Linked DNA regions of Coturnix japonica. The protein of the gene in region 2 purifies or fractionates together with the protein of the main gene of each other region. This does not show direct contact. Links are inferred from orthologs where the notes say so. Each region holds a gene or a part of one and is shown on either strand. Other genes may lie near its edges. The genes, in order: GNL2, USP36 and DHX33.

The links.
Region 1: the proteins of USP36 (region 2) and GNL2 purify together in Homo sapiens (affinity purification with mass spectrometry; 3 studies listed by BioGRID and IntAct, with this or other methods). This does not show direct contact. The link is inferred for Coturnix japonica from reciprocal best matches to the Homo sapiens genes USP36 and GNL2.
Region 3: the proteins of USP36 (region 2) and DHX33 purify together in Homo sapiens (affinity purification with mass spectrometry; 5 studies listed by BioGRID and IntAct, counting the BioPlex papers as one, with this or other methods). This does not show direct contact. The link is inferred for Coturnix japonica from reciprocal best matches to the Homo sapiens genes USP36 and DHX33.

What each region holds. Positions count from the first base shown.
Region 1 is NC_029538.1:3,325,493-3,331,548, reverse strand, and holds part of GNL2 (nucleolar GTP-binding protein 2), read right to left. Parts: intron 5,685-6,056; coding exon 5,590-5,684; intron 5,435-5,589; coding exon 5,295-5,434; intron 4,222-5,294; coding exon 4,037-4,221; intron 3,648-4,036; coding exon 3,581-3,647; intron 2,365-3,580; coding exon 2,206-2,364; intron 1,660-2,205; coding exon 1,546-1,659; intron 1,281-1,545; coding exon 1,152-1,280; intron 780-1,151; coding exon 675-779; intron 564-674; coding exon 405-563; intron 256-404; coding exon 148-255; intron 1-147. UniProt on the Homo sapiens protein: GTPase that associates with pre-60S ribosomal subunits in the nucleolus and is required for their nuclear export and maturation.
Region 2 is NC_029533.1:4,608,398-4,614,950, forward strand, and holds the start of USP36 (ubiquitin carboxyl-terminal hydrolase 36), read right to left. Parts: upstream 3,670-6,553; 5' UTR 3,559-3,669; coding exon 3,556-3,558; intron 3,526-3,555; exon of another isoform or gene 3,421-3,525; intron 3,263-3,420; coding exon 2,998-3,262; intron 2,912-2,997; coding exon 2,699-2,911; intron 2,260-2,698; coding exon 2,149-2,259; intron 1,953-2,148; coding exon 1,850-1,952; intron 1,515-1,849; coding exon 1,447-1,514; intron 1,063-1,446; coding exon 992-1,062; intron 916-991; coding exon 833-915; intron 580-832; coding exon 468-579; intron 234-467; coding exon 93-233; intron 19-92; coding exon 1-18. Other genes in the region: TIMP2 (metalloproteinase inhibitor 2), read right to left, coding at 4,978-5,175, 5,270-5,394, 5,489-5,597, 5,682-5,782. UniProt on the Homo sapiens protein: Deubiquitinase essential for the regulation of nucleolar structure and function. Required for cell and organism viability.
Region 3 is NC_029534.1:2,445,071-2,451,888, forward strand, and holds the start of DHX33 (ATP-dependent RNA helicase DHX33), read left to right. Parts: upstream 1-2,969; 5' UTR 2,970-3,052; coding exon 3,053-3,191; intron 3,192-3,549; coding exon 3,550-3,710; intron 3,711-4,053; coding exon 4,054-4,281; intron 4,282-4,921; coding exon 4,922-5,092; intron 5,093-5,554; coding exon 5,555-5,740; intron 5,741-5,969; coding exon 5,970-6,081; intron 6,082-6,320; coding exon 6,321-6,480; intron 6,481-6,818. Other genes in the region: DERL2 (derlin-2), read left to right, coding at 442-535, 1,038-1,233, 1,476-1,566, 2,071-2,176. UniProt on the Homo sapiens protein: Implicated in nucleolar organization, ribosome biogenesis, protein synthesis and cytoplasmic dsRNA sensing. Stimulates RNA polymerase I transcription of the 47S precursor rRNA.

The DNA.
Region 1 (6,056 bases), on a different chromosome or scaffold from region 2:
TCTCTGTGGAAGAGTTCTTTGCTATCCGGTGCTCTGAATCATGTCAGGAAAAGCCCAATTTACATGGTGCTCTGGCAAAAGCATCAGTGAGTATCATTAGAAGAATGGAATAATATGCAAGAAGAGGCACGAGCCTCACATCCTTACCTCAGCAGCTGCTTCTGCATTTGGTGGCTTCACAAAGAACGGAATTCTGCCCCTCTGCCAGTCATTGAGAACCATCTTGCTGACAGTTTGCAGATCAGGCTCACCACCCTGAAAGAATTCAGTAACAGTTTCTGTCCTTGTTTGCAGGGCATACCATCTTTATATTATCTCTTTGCAACTGAAACGTATTTCGCACTTCCAGTGCAGAAACAAACCCACATGCTCTTCCAACCTGTAAATACAGGATGCTCTCAAACCTTTAGTAGTTTTCCAGTCCTAGCAGCAAGCTTCTCAAGGAAATCTTCTGTATCTTTCCAGAAATCAATTTTGTATGTCTTTCTGATGTACTCTGGCTTGGCTCTTTCCAGCACCGCACTAATGTGATCTTCAGGGCTCTTAATCTTTTCAACTTGAACCTAAAAATGAATGGTAAAGTATCAACCCTTTGGAAAGCGTGCAGACACTTCTTTGAACTCACCATGGTGAAAACAGCAAGAATTTTCCCTGCACACAGCACAGATACATACCACTCCCTTCAGAACAATGTCTGTTTCTGAGTCTCCAGATGGATACACCACCCCTGGGCAGTCAATGAGAAAAATCCTCCTCATCAAAGTAATGTATTGCCACACCTGAAAGATATCAGTGATCCCCACGTTACCTCCTCTCATGCACAACTGTTAGTTCTGCTTTTAAATGCACAGGTTTAATATACGGAAGTCATAAACTTGGCATTAGCACACACTGAGTCAGTGCAGCTGAGTGTTCAGATCACACAGCACTGCACAACAGACATAGAAACTCAGAAATGCTTTTGAGCAGCAGCACTCCAGAACAACGCCTGGCTCATCAGCCACCCCTCAGACTCAGGGTGATGCAGCTTGTGTAACTTCAGTGACCTGGAAACATTAATGAGCTCATTTTATATATTTTCTGCCTCTGACAACACAGTGGCATATTTATAATATTATTTTTTAACCTTTAAAAGAGCAGCGCCTTCCTACCTTAGTTTCACCTGCAATGGGAGCCACACTGCAGACCTTCTTAGACCGCAACGTGTTGATCACTGAGCTTTTGCCAACGTTTGGGTATCCAATAAAACCCACACTGATCTGTTTCTTATCAGAGTGTAACTGTTAAGAAATGACACATCATTTTAATACCTCATAGAAAATGACACAGTTACTATTGCAGTTTTAGGAGCTTCTGGTTGTATAAAAAAGCAAAGGCTGCTTCAAATACTCTGTCCAGGGGAAGTATTTTCCATTTCCACAGAATGAAGCTTGTTTGCTGACAGAATGGCCACGTGAAAGTGCACTGTACCCCACACATTAAAACAGATAAATCCCATACTAACCCCAACCCCAAACAATATAAAGCCCCACAGTTGTTCTTTACCTTTCCAAACTGCCTTAAAAGCTGTATGAAAGCACCTTTGCCAAAAGGGTTTGTGAGGCTGGCGTGAAAAGCAAGTGTTGGGTATTCCTGGGAAAGGACAGCAACCCAGCGCTTCTAAAGAGGAAAAACACTGCTCAGTTATGAATGCTGTGCTGCAAAGGCAGTGAAACAATTTCATTGTGAGAAAAACCATCTTCACTTGAGTCACATAACACAACTATCTATAAAAGTTGCCACGTAAGAAGCTTAGATGCATTTTATCAACCCAATAGCTAAAAGCACTGCCTATTGTTTTCATAAAAAGATGATTTCCCCCTAAATGCCTTCATTGCTAATTAGTTTAACAATGTAAAACAGACCAGCTGTGGTGGACATGGACCTTAAACGTACTAACATTTAGCATACTCTGGAGACATCAGCTGAACAGTTAAATCCAGACAGAGGAAGTAGAGAATTTGTGGCTGGTGACTGTTGCTCAACTGAGCCAAACTTGGACTGATTTAAATGGTAATTGTTACTTTTACAGCAAGCAAGCAGAGAGTTCCCACTGACCCAGTTACATTATGCCCTTAAGAGACTAGAACAAGGACTGGCAACAGAATTAGAGGCTATGAAAGGAACAAAATACATTCAAGGGACAAGAGGCAAAGCTGTGCTTACAGTAGCCCAGGTAGGAACAAGATCACATTTGTTCAGGACAAAAATGAGATGCTTCCAGTGTTTCTCTTTTTTCAGATAAGATTCCACATGAGGGGAGCGAGTACCCATAGGATCTCTGGCATCAAGAACTTGAACAACAACATCTGATGAGTCTATCACCTGGAAAAAGAAATACATATATATATATCATACATACACATATATCGCACAGAAGGAAAATAATACACATTTCCAAAATATAAAACAGTAATCTTCTAAATTCTTATCGTTATAGGATAAAACCTTACATCCTTTAGGAATGACTGTTAGTTTCCTGTAACAATCTCTACTCTCTCTTCCCTGCTCCCCTCCAAATTTAGGCTGGAGAGCTGTGAGCAGCTTCTAGGAGCATTTGGGAAGGGAAACACTACAACCAAGCAGTAAAGTTATTTGCCTTAGTGGGCAAAAAGAATGTTCTTCATCCATTCTATAAAGGATCGGGACATAAAGAGCGTTTGCTGGATCAGTATGAAACACACAACCAAGTAGGAACCTGCTGTTAGTCCACTAAGAATCTACAGCAGGGAGCTGTCATTTCATGACTTGCTTCAAGCCAAGAGAATTTGTTTCACAGCTATTTCCTGCATTTTTGGCAGAATCTTATTGAAATCTGTTTTGCTCTATGATTCCCAGCACTTCTAGGACTAAATGAGAAAGTTCTAAGCTACATTCAGAAATTTGGGACAAGTCAAGCAGTTTAACAACAGTCACTGAGAGCAAACAAACTGCACTTACAAATCTAACTCAATCTCAGGCTTCATTCCTTTAGCACCAGTGGCAACTCATGGGGAAGGTCAGAGAACCCCAAAGAAGATCTTATTAACACGATGCATCCTCAGTCTAAAGAAACTTAAGGGCATCTGACTGGTTTATTTGTGCTAAAGCCCCAGGAATTGTTCATTTTACCAGCTCATCTTTGGATCATATATTTTAAGGATGTATGTTCCACTGAGACAAGAGCTCAAGAATCAAGCTTAGAAGCTTGAAAATGAATCTCCCTGCTACTCTACAACTGTTTCTTTCTGTTCTAGTTGATGGTCTGGTTCAACACCAGTCCAATGCTAGAAAAGAGTGTATGGATTTACATCAGTCAGTTCAGTTAGGCCGACAGGAAAACAAGGAAGAGAATTATACACTAAGGATGTCTCTGAACAGACACCTTTGCTCTACAGAAAATTCAGCAGATCAAAGCTTCCCTAACATGGCCAGACATAACTGTACAGTTCTGAGAGCTTTTCAGAGTCACACAATATTTCCAACGCTGTGCTGCAGCACCGGACTTCACAAAGGCTAAAATACAGACAAATACCTGCTGCAAATTATAAGTGTTGCTTACCTTGTACAGCTCACCCCAAATTCTTTTTGACTGTCCTTTCTTAAATATTTCCTCTTGTGCTTCATCCCTGGAAGTGGATCACCAGAGACATCAACAACCACAATAACAGGGCTGTAGTGCTGTCTTCTCTAAAGCCAGTTAGCCATTTACAGAGAAAAGAGGAGATTAGACCCAGTCCCTTATTTAACCCAATATCTGAGTTCACAAATTTTCAGATATGCAACAGGAAATGAATTAGCAATGAAGACAGAAGGGTCCCATGGAAGCAGGAGTTCAGTTAAATATATTGGGATGAAACAGCCTTAAAATAAAATCCAGCCAAATTCAGCTTATTTCTCATTGCATACTCGTCAATCAGGCAGTAACAGCATCGATAGAGGAACTAGATGCGCTTTTTTAAATGAATGAAGATGTATAAGAAATGTAAATAGAGAATAATTTCTCCTTCCTATCTACCTTACTCCAGTGTCTTCAACGACCAGGTCTCTGTCTTTGCCCTGATCGTAACATTCTGATGAGGCTTCAGCATTCTCCAGCAGGGACTGTACATCACTTGCAGCAAGGTTTGGCCTTTTCCTCTGTGCTTTGGGGCCAAATGTTGTTTCAAATGTTTCTGTGTCAAGAATGTGAACTCTGGAGGTCTATGGAAAGATGGGTTGTTAAAATAAGAAAACACACCCACAATCTCTAATATTCCATCTCTCACGACATGCAGCCTACAAGATCTCAATGCAATGCAACTCTGTAACCTCTAACAAGAGTCATAGGCACTTTCCTAACAGTGTTTGAGTTCTGCAGCTTAATTTCGAGAAGCACAAACACGGATATTTAACAAGCACCAAACCAGGCTGCACTTGCCAAAGAACCATGCTTCACTTCTTCCTGCATAAATGATGTCCAAAGTAATTAAGGCTGCAATGATGAAAATTCAGCTGCTATCTTTGATCATTCCTTATTTTTCTAACAAGTGCACAAATCTCGCCAAATTCACAGATTTTTGTCAGGGATAATTACAGTCAAAACTGTAAAATTTGAAGCCTGTAATGAATGCCAACTTTTCTTGGAACGGCAGCAGTTCATAGCTGAAAGAAATCATTTGTTTTTGTAACACTTATTTTAGTTTACAGTAACTTTTCCCTTCATTTAGGTAACATTTTTATGACACAAACGTGGCAACTTTCCATGTGAAAAATATCTAACGATAATCCAAAATAATAATACTTCAGGGGTTATGAAAGCAGACTGGTAATAACTAAAGCTTTAGGCACTTGAAACTCAATTTGCCTTGAAACGAAAGCAGCACGCAGAACTTCTGATTCAAGATAAAAAGCACATATTTGAGTTCAGGCAGATTCAGTGCATGAGAGAAAACACGCTAACAGAACAATGCTTCCTCAGCACTGTCACATCAGCCATTAGAAGCATTAGGACAGAAGGTGACAAGTTTATATATAGTCATTTTAAATGCCATATTCTAACCTAGAGTGCTTTCAAGTAGATTTCCTGTGAGAAAATGTGAATTCCATACCATAGACATCACAAACCAGACTGCTTTCATAACCTCTGTATCACATCCACAGCATTGTGTCCTCAAAAATATCCCATTCCAAGATATTTGCCCCAATTCCTCCTCCAATGCTTCTCCAAACGTAGCCAGTTTCCCACATATAACACATAAAACAGCCTTAACCCAATGCAGATGAATGACACTCACGTGAGGTTTAATCCGATCGTGGAAAAGAGACATAGGTAACTTGCTTTGTTTCATGACCACTCTGTATGGATCTTTCATGACAGTTTCCATTTCTTCTTGAAACTTCTGCAGGGATGCCTGCTTGACCACACGAGTATTCCCTATGTGTAAGAATAAAGGCTACATCTACACCATTCATCACCTTTAACTGCTTCAGAGACTCAGATTACACCATGAAAATATCAATACTTCAACTGCAATAAAAAATACCAACCAATCCAAGCTTGTTGAATGGAGAGCCTGAAAGAAAACTCACCGAACCATTTAATATTTGGTTCCACTCTTGCAACTGTGCCTGGTGCCACTGTCGACTGATACTGCAGAGGTTTAATCACTTTGCCACGTTTGTTTCTAAGTGAAGAATGAAAATGCATGTAAATACATAATGAAACCATACATGCCTATAGCACTTTGATTCACTAGAGCCACTATTCACCCCCTTAGTACCCATCTAAGCCTATGCCTGCACAAAGGCAATAAGTTAGTTGGATGAGCTATCACACCTGCTGGCATACACTGCCCTGTGATGATCCTAGGCTTGATATTTTACCTGTTTGCTGTGTCAAATCACAGGGCAATATCTCTGAAAAACACCTTACTAATCATCTTAGTGCTTTGAACTCTAGTTATTCATAAGAAGCATCTGGGTACAAGCTAAGTACTACAGGATAACTGATACAAACACACATACACACACAAGTAGCTTTCATACAATACATCCCA
Region 2 (6,553 bases):
CCACTGCCCATTGCTGGCCTAGGAGCAGAGCTTGGGGTCAGGCCCTGCCCAGAGCAGCACCAGCACCCCAAGAAGGTGCTACTAGGGCTCACCTTCACATAGCAATAGTAGTGTCCTGCATGGCAGCTGTACCCCGAGTGCACCAGCACTGCATAGAGTCCATACATGACCGGATCACCATTGTTCTGAGACATGTAGGGGCGAATGTTCAGGAACTCAGGGTACCCCACGTCCTGCGGGGAGAGGATGGCTCAGGGGTCTTTACCACTAGAGCAAAAGCAGCTCCAACCACCCTATGATCCCTCTCCAGAGGGCACCCAGCTCAGCCCTGGCTAGGACTGCAGCAAGGAAGGTGCTGACCCTGCAGCACAGCCTGGGGAAGGCTACCGGGCTGCAGCAGACCTTATGCTGCAATGGAACCCTATGAGCCGTGGCACAGCCCCAGCCCTGCACTGCCCAATTCTCACCTTTGTGATTTTGCCTCCACTGAAGTTGGCAAAACGCTTCAATGAGAGCGTGAGGACGTTGGAGGCTCGGTGGATGGTGAAGCGTTTGCTGGCTGGTACCTTCTTCTTGCACCTACACAGAAGAGCTCCAGCTATCCAAGCTGCTCCACAGCCAGGTGACTGCCCTCAGCTGGGACACACCTCATGGAATCCATTGCACTGAATGAAAGCATCAGCTCATGGCCACCATCTGCTGCTGCCCAGGCCTTTCCCTCCCAGCCATACAGCTGGAATGGGGTCGGCTCTATCACAGCCACACGTCCCAGCTGGGGCTGCATCTGTACCACCTTACTTTCCGCTACTCCACACCATGGGACCCCCCTCACCTGGCACACATGTAGGCGTTCTCCCCACTCAGCATGTCTGATTTCACAAACAGCTCCAGCGCCCGCACGATGTTTGCAGCTTGCTGCAAGGACAGGGCAGAGCTCAGGGCATGTGTGACCTGTCCACACTACACCATAACACAGTGCCCACTGACATACCCTGATCTCCAAGGACACATCCAGGAAGGGGTCGTAGGTATCTGAGACACTCTTACACACGGAGCATTTCACTGCAAAAGAAAGAGCAGTGAGTGCACCCTGCTACATCTGCACCTGCCATTCAGCAGCTGCAGCGCTGCCCCTCTATGGGTCTGGGCTCTGGGATGCCAGCACCAACATTTCTGTTGGGCATTTGCAGCTTGGCAGGGAGGAAGGCTGCTGGCATAGCAATTGTTGCTCAACAGCTGCAAGCGTTGGTTCCTTCAATGAGTGACAAAGAGCCAAGGACCCGCAGCCAACAGCTTTCTGTGTTGCCACAACAGGAGCCAAGACCCACAGGCATGGCAGGAGTGGCAAAGCACAGCTTTGGGTGATTTACACATGCTTGGCCATTTTCCCAAATGATTTTTAGTGCAGAGCTGTTGGGGTAACAGCAGCCCAGCAGCAGCACTCACCACGGGACCGCAGGTAGCCACCAAAGATCTGGTGAACCAGCGTGGTGGCCTGGGTCTGGCGATCCAACCTGGAAGAGAAACACCACATCTATCACTGCTCTTCCACACCACAATGCAAAGGCCACCCCTGTGTCCCGCACCAACCACAGACTGTGATAAGGACAGGGAAGATGCAGTGCTTCTGCTGTTTTGTGGATCCCAGTGCCTGAGCTCAGGGAGCACCAGGCTGTGTGTACCCAATGCTCTCCAAGCATGGTTGCTCCCAGCTGCAGCTCAGAGCCTTGCACTGAAGGTGGATGCAGTGCTGGTGCCCTGGGTCTCAGCCCCACAGCAGGGCACAGCCCAGGGCTGTATCATGGAGCAGAGATGGCCTCAGTACCCCAGTACTCAGAGCTGTGTGTACCTGGTGCAGCCGCTCAGGCAGGCCTTCTGCATGGCATCGATGGTGTAACGCAGGAACTCGTGTGCATCCTCCTGGCTGCCAAAGCGAAAGTGCCGGGCAATCTCTGCAGGGAAAAAAGGGCTCAAATCCTGCATACAGAGCCTCTATGCCCCCCCCCAAAGCCAAGCTGTGGGGCAGCCCCATGTGGTCCTGCGGCAGCTCAGCCTCCATGAATCAGCTCCGAGCCACTCACTGCCAGGACCTGCCCCAGCCTCGTGAGTCACAGCAGGGGAGCACAGCGTGGAAGGACCCATCCTTACTCTTGAGGTCTCGGATGAAGGACACCGGCTTGATGGCGTTGCCGCTGTTGGCAAAAGCCTGGATCATGTGGTTCTGCATAACGCACATCATGCAGAAACCTCCCTGGTGACCTGCAGGAGAGAAGAAAGGACGCTGGGGACAAAGGCAGGAGGGATGGAGGGGGTGAGAGAGAAGGGGAACCCCTGTGGCCATGCAGCACAGCCCTCCCCATGAGCTCAATGCTATAGCACAGTGCAGCCCAGGGGACAAGGACAAGCATATGACACACCAGCTGGCAGTGCCTAGGTCACAGATAACGCTGCAGATGAGAACACCCATCTGTAAGGGTGGCACACAGGGCACCAGCACCTCCCAGACAAGCCAGCAGGTCTGTATATAGGGCAGAGCTGAGCTTTATGAATGGGGCACTGACGACAGGCTGTGGGCCGTGCCACCAGGAACCACCCCAGGCAGTTCTGCAGCCATTGGGGGCCAACCCAGCCCAGGGCAGCCCTCCCCCCATATATAACCCCCCCCCAGCCCTACAGCACTATCCCACACCCCACTCACAGGCACGGCTGTGCTCCTTGGACAGCAGGTAGCAGGCGAGGGGCGGCGTGTAGGTGAGGCACTGCAGGGTGGCGTTGAGGAAGCAGGTATTGCCCAGGTTGTGCAGCCCGGCGCCCACCCGCTGGACACGCTCCCACTTCAAGGAGAGCCGCTCTGCGGGGAACAGCACCTTCTGCGGGGCGGGGACACCATCCCCGGGTCCGTGATCGCCTCCTGAGGGATGGAGGGCGGTGAGCGGAGGGCTTCACCGGGACCCCCCCCATATACACACTCCGATTTGCCTGGGGAGAGGCACGCACCGTGCTTCCTGCTGGGCCCCTCCGGTGGGGGCGGGCGGGGCGCGTTGGTCCCGGTGCTGGCGTTGAGCGGGCGGTACTTGCCCCGCAGCAGCTCCAGCTGCCCGGACAGCCCACGGCTCGCAGGCTCGAACTCGATCCTTTGCAGCAGCACCTTCTTGGCCGAGGCGGCCAGCAGCCGGCCCAGCTCCCCGTCCTCGCTCGGCTCCTTGCGGCCCGGCTTCAGCGCCTCCCGCAGCTTCTCCACGATCGGCATCGCGGGGCCGGGCTGGGGGATGGGCGGAGGGGGGGTGAGCGGGGGGCGCCACGAGGAGCGGCCGAATCCGGCCCCATTCAGCCCCATTTAGCTCCGTTCTCCCCCATCCCCGGCCCCCACCGCCACCCGCGACCTTGAGCCCCGCCACCACGTGCCGCCCCGCCCGGTACCGTCGCTCCGCAGCGGCCCCACGCAGCGCAGAGATGCGGCACAGACCACGCGGGCTCCGAACCTCCCCCGCCCCCCCCGAACCACCCGCCGTACACCCAGCCCCGTCCCCCCGGCCCGGCCCGGTCCACACGCACCATCCGGGTCCCGTCCACGCACGTGTCACCGCCTTCAATGGGCGGCTCCCGCGTGGCGCCGCCGACACGAACCACTTCCGCACCACCCCCATTATGGGGGCAGGGTCTAACGCAAAGCACGCCCCTATAATCACATGGCCACGCCCCCCCCCAAAAAAACAAGAAAAACCCACCCCCCAAGCCCAGCTTTAAATCACGGCAGCACGTTAGATACATCTGACTTTAATACTTATCAAGCAGAGATCTGAAAATAACTATACGTAAACTTTTTTGTCTCTTTTTTTTTAACCTCTTTTTTTTCCCCTCCTTTTTTTAAACACCACATCGAGCTGCTGACCCCAAAGCAGAGCCACGGCCATAAATTAAAGCGGCTCCAAGGGGGGGCTTTAGGGGGGGCCGGGGGTTGGGGCCTGCCCCAGCGCTGCCCCACAGCCCCTCCATCATTCCCCCCCCCCCCCCAACCCCCCCCTTTTTGCCCCACTGTGGAGCCCCTTTAGAAAAATAAGTGCAATTCTAACGCCTAAAGGGGGAAATAAAACCCCGAAATCAAACCCAAAAACCCCCGACAAAAATAAACAATAAACCAAACAAACGACAAAATAATCACAGCACGGGAATGATAGAGCTGATGGCAGAACAGTGGGGGGTATTAAACTCAGAGACAGGCTACCAGCAGAGACAGGAGTAAATGGCACATATGATATAACCATACAGAAGCGAACGGGAGTCCTATATGGGACTGATTAGAGGCTGGGTGGGGTTGGTTGGGGTTGTTTTTTTTCTTTTTTTTTCTTTTTTTTCTTGTTTTTTTTTTTTCTTTCCTTTCTTTCACTGTTTCTTTTAACACCTTCAAGTTGCCCAGACTGGTCCAGAGCCACATCGTCACCCTATGGGGATGTACAGCATGAAATACCCCGAGCTGGGGCCGGCCGTGTGTATGGGGAAATGGCTCAGAGAGGGGGGGTGTGGGGTCGGTGTCCTGCAGCCATCCCCCTCTCCTCCGAGGGGTGAACCCCATTCGGCCCCTAAGGGCTACAGTGGGTGAGAGCCCCATGGCTCCTGCAGGTGGGAGCAGCTGGTGCCAAGCTGCACCCTTCTGGCACCCCACAGCAAGGGATGGGATGGAGGACGGCACGGTGCTGGTGCTGGGTAGCTCCAGTTGGCAGCTGTGCCCCTGCAGACCGAGGGCAGCTCATCAGCATTCAGCCTGCAGGGAATGGGGTCGCAGGGTGCAGGTATTGCAGGGTATGCACGGTTGCAGTGAGCCCCCCCCCCGCCCCATGCACACACGGCAGCTCCATGCCCTGCGGCCCCTCGGGGCTGTGTGGGTTTTCATGCTGTCTCCAGGCCCCGATGTCAGCGTGGACCAGTCTAACATCTCGCTGGGCTTTCCTACTGGCTACTGGAATGCACTCGGTTGGCTTAGGGGTCCTCGATGTCGAGAAACTCCTGCTTGGGGGGGGCCATGCCGCGGTACCAGGCGCATGAGCCGTCGCTCCTCTTGATGCAGGCGTAGTGCTTGGCCTGCCGCCCGCCCACGATCTTCTCCATCGCCCAGTCTGTCCAGAGGCACTCATCCGAGGAGGAGACGAAGCACGGGATGGAGAGGCAGCGTGAGATCTGCACAGGGTAGAGCTGGTCAGCACCCGTCCCTACAGCCCCCCACCTACCCATAGGGATGCCCCAGGTGTGGGTCCTGGGTCAGGGCACTCACCTTGCACTCACAGCCCATCTGGTACCTCTGGTTGAGGCTCTTCTTCTGGGTAGGGCTCAGTGAGTCCCAGGTGGCAACCAGGTCACACAGCGTGATGTGCATCTTGCCATCGCCCTCCGATTTGCCTGGGGAGAGGCCACATAAAGCCACTCACACACACACACCTGGGGGCTGCTGGGTCCAACCCCCCCTTGGATGTGGGTCAGTGCCCATTCCTACCTGCAATCAGGTACTCCTTCTTGCCTCCTGTGTCCAGTGGCTGCCCACACACTGCTGTGGATGGCGCCGTGTAGATGAATTCGATGTCCTGGTCGGGGCCCTTAAACATCTGAGGACAGAGTGCAGGTGTGAGCAGCAACACCCAACCCCCACCCACCCCACGGTGCCCATCCCAAAGGTGCCCACTCCATACCTTGATCTGCTTCACTTCATACTGGATTCGCTTGATGGGGTTCCCATAAATGTCATTCCCCGAATCCACCTCCTTTGCAGAGACGGCCTTTGCTCGGATCACTGCAAGGGAAAGGCATGGAGATGGGCAGGCGCTGGGGGCAAGAGCACAGCCCCCCCCAGCCCCATATCTCCCCAGCTGGTAGCCTAACCCACAGAGGGACAGCATGGCCACTCCCCATTATCAGCATCCTGGGAGCACTATTTGTCCACCACCATTAATTAATTCACATCCCAGCCCAGTGCCTGCAATGCCCAGCACAATGGAGAGACCCAAGGGCAGTGGAGCTCACCTCTGGGTATAGAAAGGAGCCCCCAGTACCCAATACAGGGCCGACCTACCCGGTGCCCACTGCCTTTGCACCATGCAATCACAGAGGTGCCTGGCCACAGCTCCCTGCCAGCCACTGGCTATTGGCACATGGAGCCTCCACATCATGCAGGCACAAAAGCTGTGTCACCCCACCAGCACAGCACAAGGACACGGAGCCACACGTGAGTGCCCGGCACGTGGCACTGACCTCACCGGTGGGAGCTTCACCCTGACCCACAGCTGCACAGGTCACAGCCACCCCTGTGCCCAGAGATGGGGATGGCAGTTGTGTCCCTATAGAGAGGTGCTGGGGGTGCAGTGGGGACACATGCAGGGCCAGCCCTGCTGCCTGCTATCACCTGGCACAGCACAAGAGCTGATCGGGTTGCGCTCTATAAATACAGCAGGGTAATTGGTGGGCACACAGTGAGACTGTTTGGGCTGAAGGTCAGCAGCTGCATCGCACCACGTGGGCACCCGGCAGCACTGACTCAGTTTACTCTGGAAAGGAGAAGGTGATG
Region 3 (6,818 bases), on a different chromosome or scaffold from region 2:
GTCATTGCTCTGTGTGCAGACAGATAAGGTTCAATTCTGCTCCATGATGAAGTTACAAGAGTTCATTGATGCTAAGTTAGCTGATGGTCTGGGCCTCAGCAGGATCTCTGTAGCACATCAAGCACTCTGCCATTTATTTCTGTGCTGTCGTGAATCTGTTGTGCAAGTCTGATCCTCCAGGGGATGTGCAGCTGCTTGGATGTGAAATCCAGGAGGAAATTCCTAGTAATATTTCTATATTATATTTATATATATATTTTCTATACTATACTGTGTATTATGTGTTCTATGGCCACTCTGCTGAGGCACACAGGATGAGTCAGTTAATGAACTGAACTGATGCACGAGCTTCAATGCACAGTTCATATCAATGCAGCCTTTTCCCATTGGATCTTTCTCTAAACTCATTTGTTGTCACATTTCCCTGACCTGTGACTTCAGATACCGTTACTGCCGGATGCTTGAAGAAGGTTCTTTTCGAGGTCGGACGGCAGATTTTGTATTTATGTTCCTTTTTGGAGGACTCTTAATGACTGTATCCTTTCTGGTTTTATTCCAAAACACTGTAGTGAAGCAGGTGATAGATGAAAGAGAACTCAGACTATGCTGTCTGAGTGTCATGTCACTTAGTTATTAGATGACAGCATTTTTCTTGTAGCATGAGAAGCAGTAGTATTTTAAGTGCTTGACTTTGTGTCTGTCACTTCTATTAGATGTTCGGCTGATCTTTCTTTTTGCTGCTTGACAGAGTTATGGAAGTAGATGAGGGGACTACTCAGGTGGATAATCATGCCTAGGTTATCTCATAAATGCTTTTGCTTCAGTGTTTTCATGCTGAATTTTAAGTGTTTATTCACGCTCTGGGTGTGCTGCATCCTGCCCACAGGTGCTGGATTTGATTGACCATAAGCGTGGTTTACTTGACCCTGGGAAAGAAGAATTGTATGAAAAGCGTGGGGTTATAGATCAAGCTGTCTGATTCTTATTGCTTGACCTCAAACTATTATTTGGTGACTTTCTTTAACTTCCCGTTGGAGATCTTTGGCCTGTTTGTGAACTTGGTTTTCTTGGGTCAGGCGTTCACAATAATGCTTGTGTACGTATGGAGCCGCAGGAATCCCTACGTCCGTATGAACTTCTTTGGGCTTCTCATCTTCCAAGCTCCGTTTCTACCTTGGGTACTGATGGGCTTTTCGCTGCTTTTGGGGAACTCCATCATCGTGGATCTCCTAGGTAAGGAGCTTGAAGAATCATAAAGCTAATGGAGCAAGAAACATGGGGGGAGAAACCAAACCCTTAAGGTTGATTCATAAGGTGTGTTTCATTGGGTTTTGTATTTCTAAACTTCATTATATTTTCTGTGAAGAACAGTATGTTTGGTTGTTTTTTACCCCTGAAAATTCTTGTTAAGTATCTGTGAGCTGTAAAGAAGTATGGATTGGGAAGTAACCATTTGGTATTTGTTCATGTACTAGGCATTGCAGTCGGGCATATATATTTTTTCTTAGAGGACGTCTTTCCCAATCAGCCTGGTGGTGGAAGGCTGCTGAGAACACCATCTGTCCTGTAAGTATTGCTTTCTGGTTTGGAACAGATAAAGAAACAGTGCTTGTGTGGAAAATGCTGGATAACTCAAACTAAGTGACTTCTAGTAAGCAAGGGAATTCGAGTCAGAGCTGCGCTGTGTCTGTACTTCTGTATCTGACTTGTGTGTTGCCAAACAAGGGGGGGGATTGTGTCAAGTGTGTGAGTGGGAGCTTTCATATTTAGGGGAAGGGCTGAGGGGTTTGTGTAGTCCTTGATTTGTTAATCCTTAGTAGCCTTTACCAACTTCTGCCTGTTGGTGGCACCAAAAGTGCACGTGAGGAATAAGAATCCAGCTGTGTATGAACAGGATAACTATTAAGTGAAATACAGCTATTTTTTGTCTGATAAACATCCTAATTTCACAACTTTGGCAGGAGGTGGTGTTGTTTATATTACTGAGCACTGCTCCGACTCTGTTGATGTATGTGTGTGGAATTGGAGTGGTCTGGATTTCATTATTAAATGTGTCTTTCTGCTTTCCAGGAAAGCAATATTTGATACACCAGAAGATGATCCCAATTACAATCCCTTACCAGAAGAACGGCCGGGGGGGTTTGCATGGGGAGAAGGTCAACGTCTTGGAGGCTAATGAGATGGCTGTGCCAAAACCCAGCAACGGCTGGGAGAGATGAACCTGGAGTTCTGTCCTGGGGAATCCCTCGTTCTCCATCGCAGAAAGAACACCATTCATCAGCTCTATGGTTTCGAATACAAGCACTTTATGAAATGGCAAGTCTAATCCAAGACACTTCCAGGCTACCAGTGTCTTCCTTAGCCAGGGAATTTATTGTGCTGGGAATGCAAATGTTAATCCAGTGGAGCCAAAAACCCTAAAACTGGAAACCATTTACATAACTTGGGTTAACAAGACCACGAGTACTTGTTTGAAGTGATTTCTAAAGCATTTTTTTCCAAGTTATTTGATACAGGAAAAGATATGGGGAACTTTACAGGGGACAAAACAAAAAAAAAAGCCTTTTTTAAACTCCTTTTTTATTCTTGGATAAAACAGCTTCAAGATGGGTGAGAGTACAAGTCCCTGTTTCAGTGGTGAATGTTTTTAGTCTGAGATGATGATGTCTCTGGTCTTGTTTGAAGTGTCAGAAATACACGATTGAACATAATGTGATTGAACATAATGTAGTGTTATTGGGACGTAGCTGTGTGTGAATACAGGTACAGGCTGTGACTGCTTGGTTCCATGGGTCCACACGTTCCTCAGAGCACCAGGAAAGAGGGTCTGTGTGGAGCTGGAGCTGCTCAAATATCTCATATAATGAGTTGAATAAAACGTTTTCTGGATTCTTTGGTTAATATTAGTATGATCGCCCTATATTCTGAAGGCAGAGATGGAATAGCGGCTCCTCTCAGCCATCGCCCCGCCCTCATCGCGCTGTATGTAGGCGGGCACCACAAGATGGCGGCCGGGCGGCCCCTGTGTGGCGGCTGACGGTGCGTTGCCGCCATGCTGCCCGGCTCCCCCGCCGCTCCCCGCCGGCTCCCGCAGCCCCCAGCCGCCTCTCAGCGCCGCGATCTGCCCATCTTCCAGGCTCGGGGGCCGCTGCTCAGCCAGCTGCGGGGCCTGGAGTGCGCCGTGCTCATCGGTGAGCGGCCGGGGAGGGAGGGATGCGGTGCTGAGGTGACTGCTGTGTGGTGAGGTGAGGTGAGGTGTCGGCCATGAGGGAGCTGCCGTAAGAAACGAGTTGGGACCTTTAGTTTGAAGGTGATCTCTATGGGAAAACAGGGTTTTCTATGTTCTCTGCCCGGTTCTGAGCTCCTCAGCTGAAAAAAAACGAGGGTCTCCTAGAGAGAATCCAGCTACAAAAGATGATGGGGCCTGGAGCATCGCCCATACAACGAGCGACCGAGGGGCCTGGCTGCAGCAGGGAGTTGGACTTCACGATTCCTAGAGGTCTCTTCCGATCCCTGCGGTTCTGATTCTGTTCCCTTGATGTTCTGCAGGAGAAACAGGCTCAGGAAAGACCACTCAGATCCCTCAGTACCTCTACGAAGCAGGAATCGGCCGCCAGGGCATCATTGCTGTGACACAGCCTCGCAGAGTAGCAGCCATATCCTTAGCGACCAGAGTGTCAGATGAAAAGAGGACGGAGCTGGGGAAACTGGTACGTGCCTTCCCAGGGCCTTTAGGGAGCTGTTTTAGTGCTGCAGTGTGGTTAATTGAATGGATAAGGTAAAAAATTGAGTCCTAAGGGTCCTCAGTAATATGCTTGAATGGGGAAAATGGCTTTCTGCTTCTTTTGTGGCTCAGGGAAACCCATGTTTGACTGTAGTTCTTTACGTGGTGATTATTTGAGTTCTGTTAATAGGAAAAATCTAATGGGCTACAGTGTTGGGAGCTCCCTTTGGGTGTCACATCGGCCTGGCTGCTGGTGGCACTATGTAGTTCTCCTTTGTGGTACAACAGCAGTGAGAAAAGTAAATCTTCTGTCATGATCTGTTCCTTAGGTTGGCTACACCGTGCGCTTCGATGACCTGACGTCTGATGAAACTAGGATCAAGTTTTTGACGGATGGCATGTTGCTTCGTGAAGCCATTGGGGATCCCATCCTGCGGAAATACAGCGTTGTCATCCTGGATGAAGCCCATGAGAGGACGATCCATACTGATGTGCTCTTTGGAGTGGTGAAAGCTGCCCAAAAGAAAAGGAAAGAGTTGGGCAAACTGCCCCTAAAGGTGCGTTCAGCTGGGATGGCAGGGATGGGGCTGGGACTCTGTGCCTTATGAGCAACACCTGGAATTTACAGTGTGTTTCAAACATTAGCCTTGTGTGTTTTCCTTTCCTAAAGAATCCCTTTAAATCTGAATAGTTCAGGGTGGCCAAATTACAGTGTGTTGCTGAGAGTGTCTTGGAGACAGGAGCTTTCTCTCTGTTAGTGCAGCTGTTACGATATGCTTGTACTGGGACATACGTGTCAGGTCATGATTTGGAGTGTGCAAGTATACACCGAGCTGCGTGAATGCACCTTGGTTTTGATGGGGAAGGCATGATTCCTGCTTGCTGGTATGATCCTTGCAGTCTGTTCAACAGGCTGATGCGCAGCCTCGCTTTGTGGATGCTCAGCTCTGTTTATTAAATGTCCAAAAAGAATTTTATTGTGCCTTCTCACTCATTTTCTCATACCAGCGTATCACACTTGTTAAAGCCATCAGCTTTGGTATTACACAAGCAAAGAACCGTCCCAAACTCTGTGTGCTTTCTGCTGTTCCGAGTCTGCATTGCAGCCTTGGGAAGTTGGCTATTGGTTAGTCCTGGCCATAAGTCCCGTGCTGGATGTGAACTGCTGTGCTGACCCATTTTATGCTCACACTGTAGGTGATTGTCATGTCAGCTACGATGGACGTCGATCAGTTCTCCCAGTACTTCAATGGAGCTCCTGTTCTCTATTTAGAAGGCAGGCAACATCCCATTCAGGTCTTCTACACCAAACAGCCTCAGAGCGATTACCTCCAAGCAGCACTGGTGTCAGTCTTCCAGATCCACCAGGTATGGTTATCTCATCAAGTCTGCACCTCCCTGGTACCACAGATTGTCAACTGGGGGTGCTTGGGTTACTGTGGCGAAGGCTTTGCTATGCAAAGTTCTCCGGTGTTAATTCATAATGAAATGTTTCTCTCACCTGAGTTTTCTGTGCTTTCTGACTCGAATCCGGGTGCTTGCTGGCTTTCTCCCTTGCATGTTTTGGATGGATATGTAAATTTGAGTGATTTCTCCATCCTTGTTACAACCCAACACTGTAAAATGCTGTTTACCCTTTACCATTGGTGAATCCATTGGAATCGTAAGGCTATTCCACACCTTGCACAGGATGTGTCTTTTCTGTCATACATGCTTTGCTGACTTGCTAACAGGACAACATATTGCAAGACTTGCTGATATCACAAGCTCAGCTCTCACTCCCTGTCCAATCCATCATAACTTCTCCTGTGCTTTTCCCTCTGGCTCCAGGAAGCTCCCTCTTCTCAGGACATCCTCGTGTTTCTAACGGGTCAGGAAGAGATTGAAGCAATGACCAAAACCTGTCGAGACATTGCCAAGCATCTCCCTGATGGCTGCCCGCAGATGACGGTGATGCCTCTTTATGCTTCTCTGCCCTACTCTCAACAACTCCGAGTCTTTCAGGCTGCCCCCAAGGTGAGAGAACGTGATGGACGATCAGAGTCAGTTTGTCTGTTTGATTGTGTGAATGTTTGGAAAAAAAAAACATCGAATTTCAGGACTTAAAATCTTGTATAGCAAACATAGTACATGATTATAACATGCTGTAATAGTATGAAGGCTTGACCCATGCTGGTAGTGCTGTTTGTCTACTGCAGCTAATCTGAGATGGCTTCTGACTGCTACAGTTTGCTCTTCCTCATAGGGCTGCCGCAAAGTGATCCTCTCCACCAACATCGCAGAAACCTCCATCACCATTTCGGGTATAAAGTATGTTGTGGACACAGGCATGGTCAAAGCAAAGAAGTACAATCCTGGTGAGGAACGTTAAGGAACAATAGAGATGCTGTTGTAGAAGTTTGTGTTTTTTGAAGCAATGTGTCCCATTGGCAGCTGGTATAAAACACCCTCTGCGCTGTCTAAATTAACATCCCAGGTTTCAGACGTGTACAGTAGTTGGACAGGAAACTCCTGGGGTTTTTTGTTAACAAGTTTATGTTTTTCAAGGTCCTGTATTATGCCGTCATTGACAGAAATGGTGCTTTTCCATACTTAGAAATTGGTCTGGAAGTGTTGGCAGTCCAGCGAGTGTCAAAGGCCCAGGCCTGGCAACGGACGGGGAGAGCAGGGCGAGAGGACAGCGGGGTCTGCTACCGGCTGTACACGGAGGATGAGTTTGAGAAGTTTGACAAAATGACGATACCTGAGATACAGAGGTGAGAACATGTGGTGAAACTATTAGTGTCAAAGAACTGCAAGGTCTGGTCAGGGGGTTTCTCCTTTCAGTCCGAACTAGCAGCCTATTATTACCTCCCCCACTTGGGTGCTAAGATAATGTGGGGTGTGCCACTCCTACAGGCTCCACCAGGAGTCATCTCCGTGTTGTCCATTGGGGCAGTTGGCAAAATACTTGAGAGTCCATCAGTGGGGTGGGTGCTTGGCCCTACATGAGGCTCCAGGGTCTGCCCATTCAGGAAGTCATGGAATAGTCTCTTTCAAGTTAGAGCACAGATCTGAGGACTCTGATTTCTTCAGAGTTTTGGGTGTTTGATGC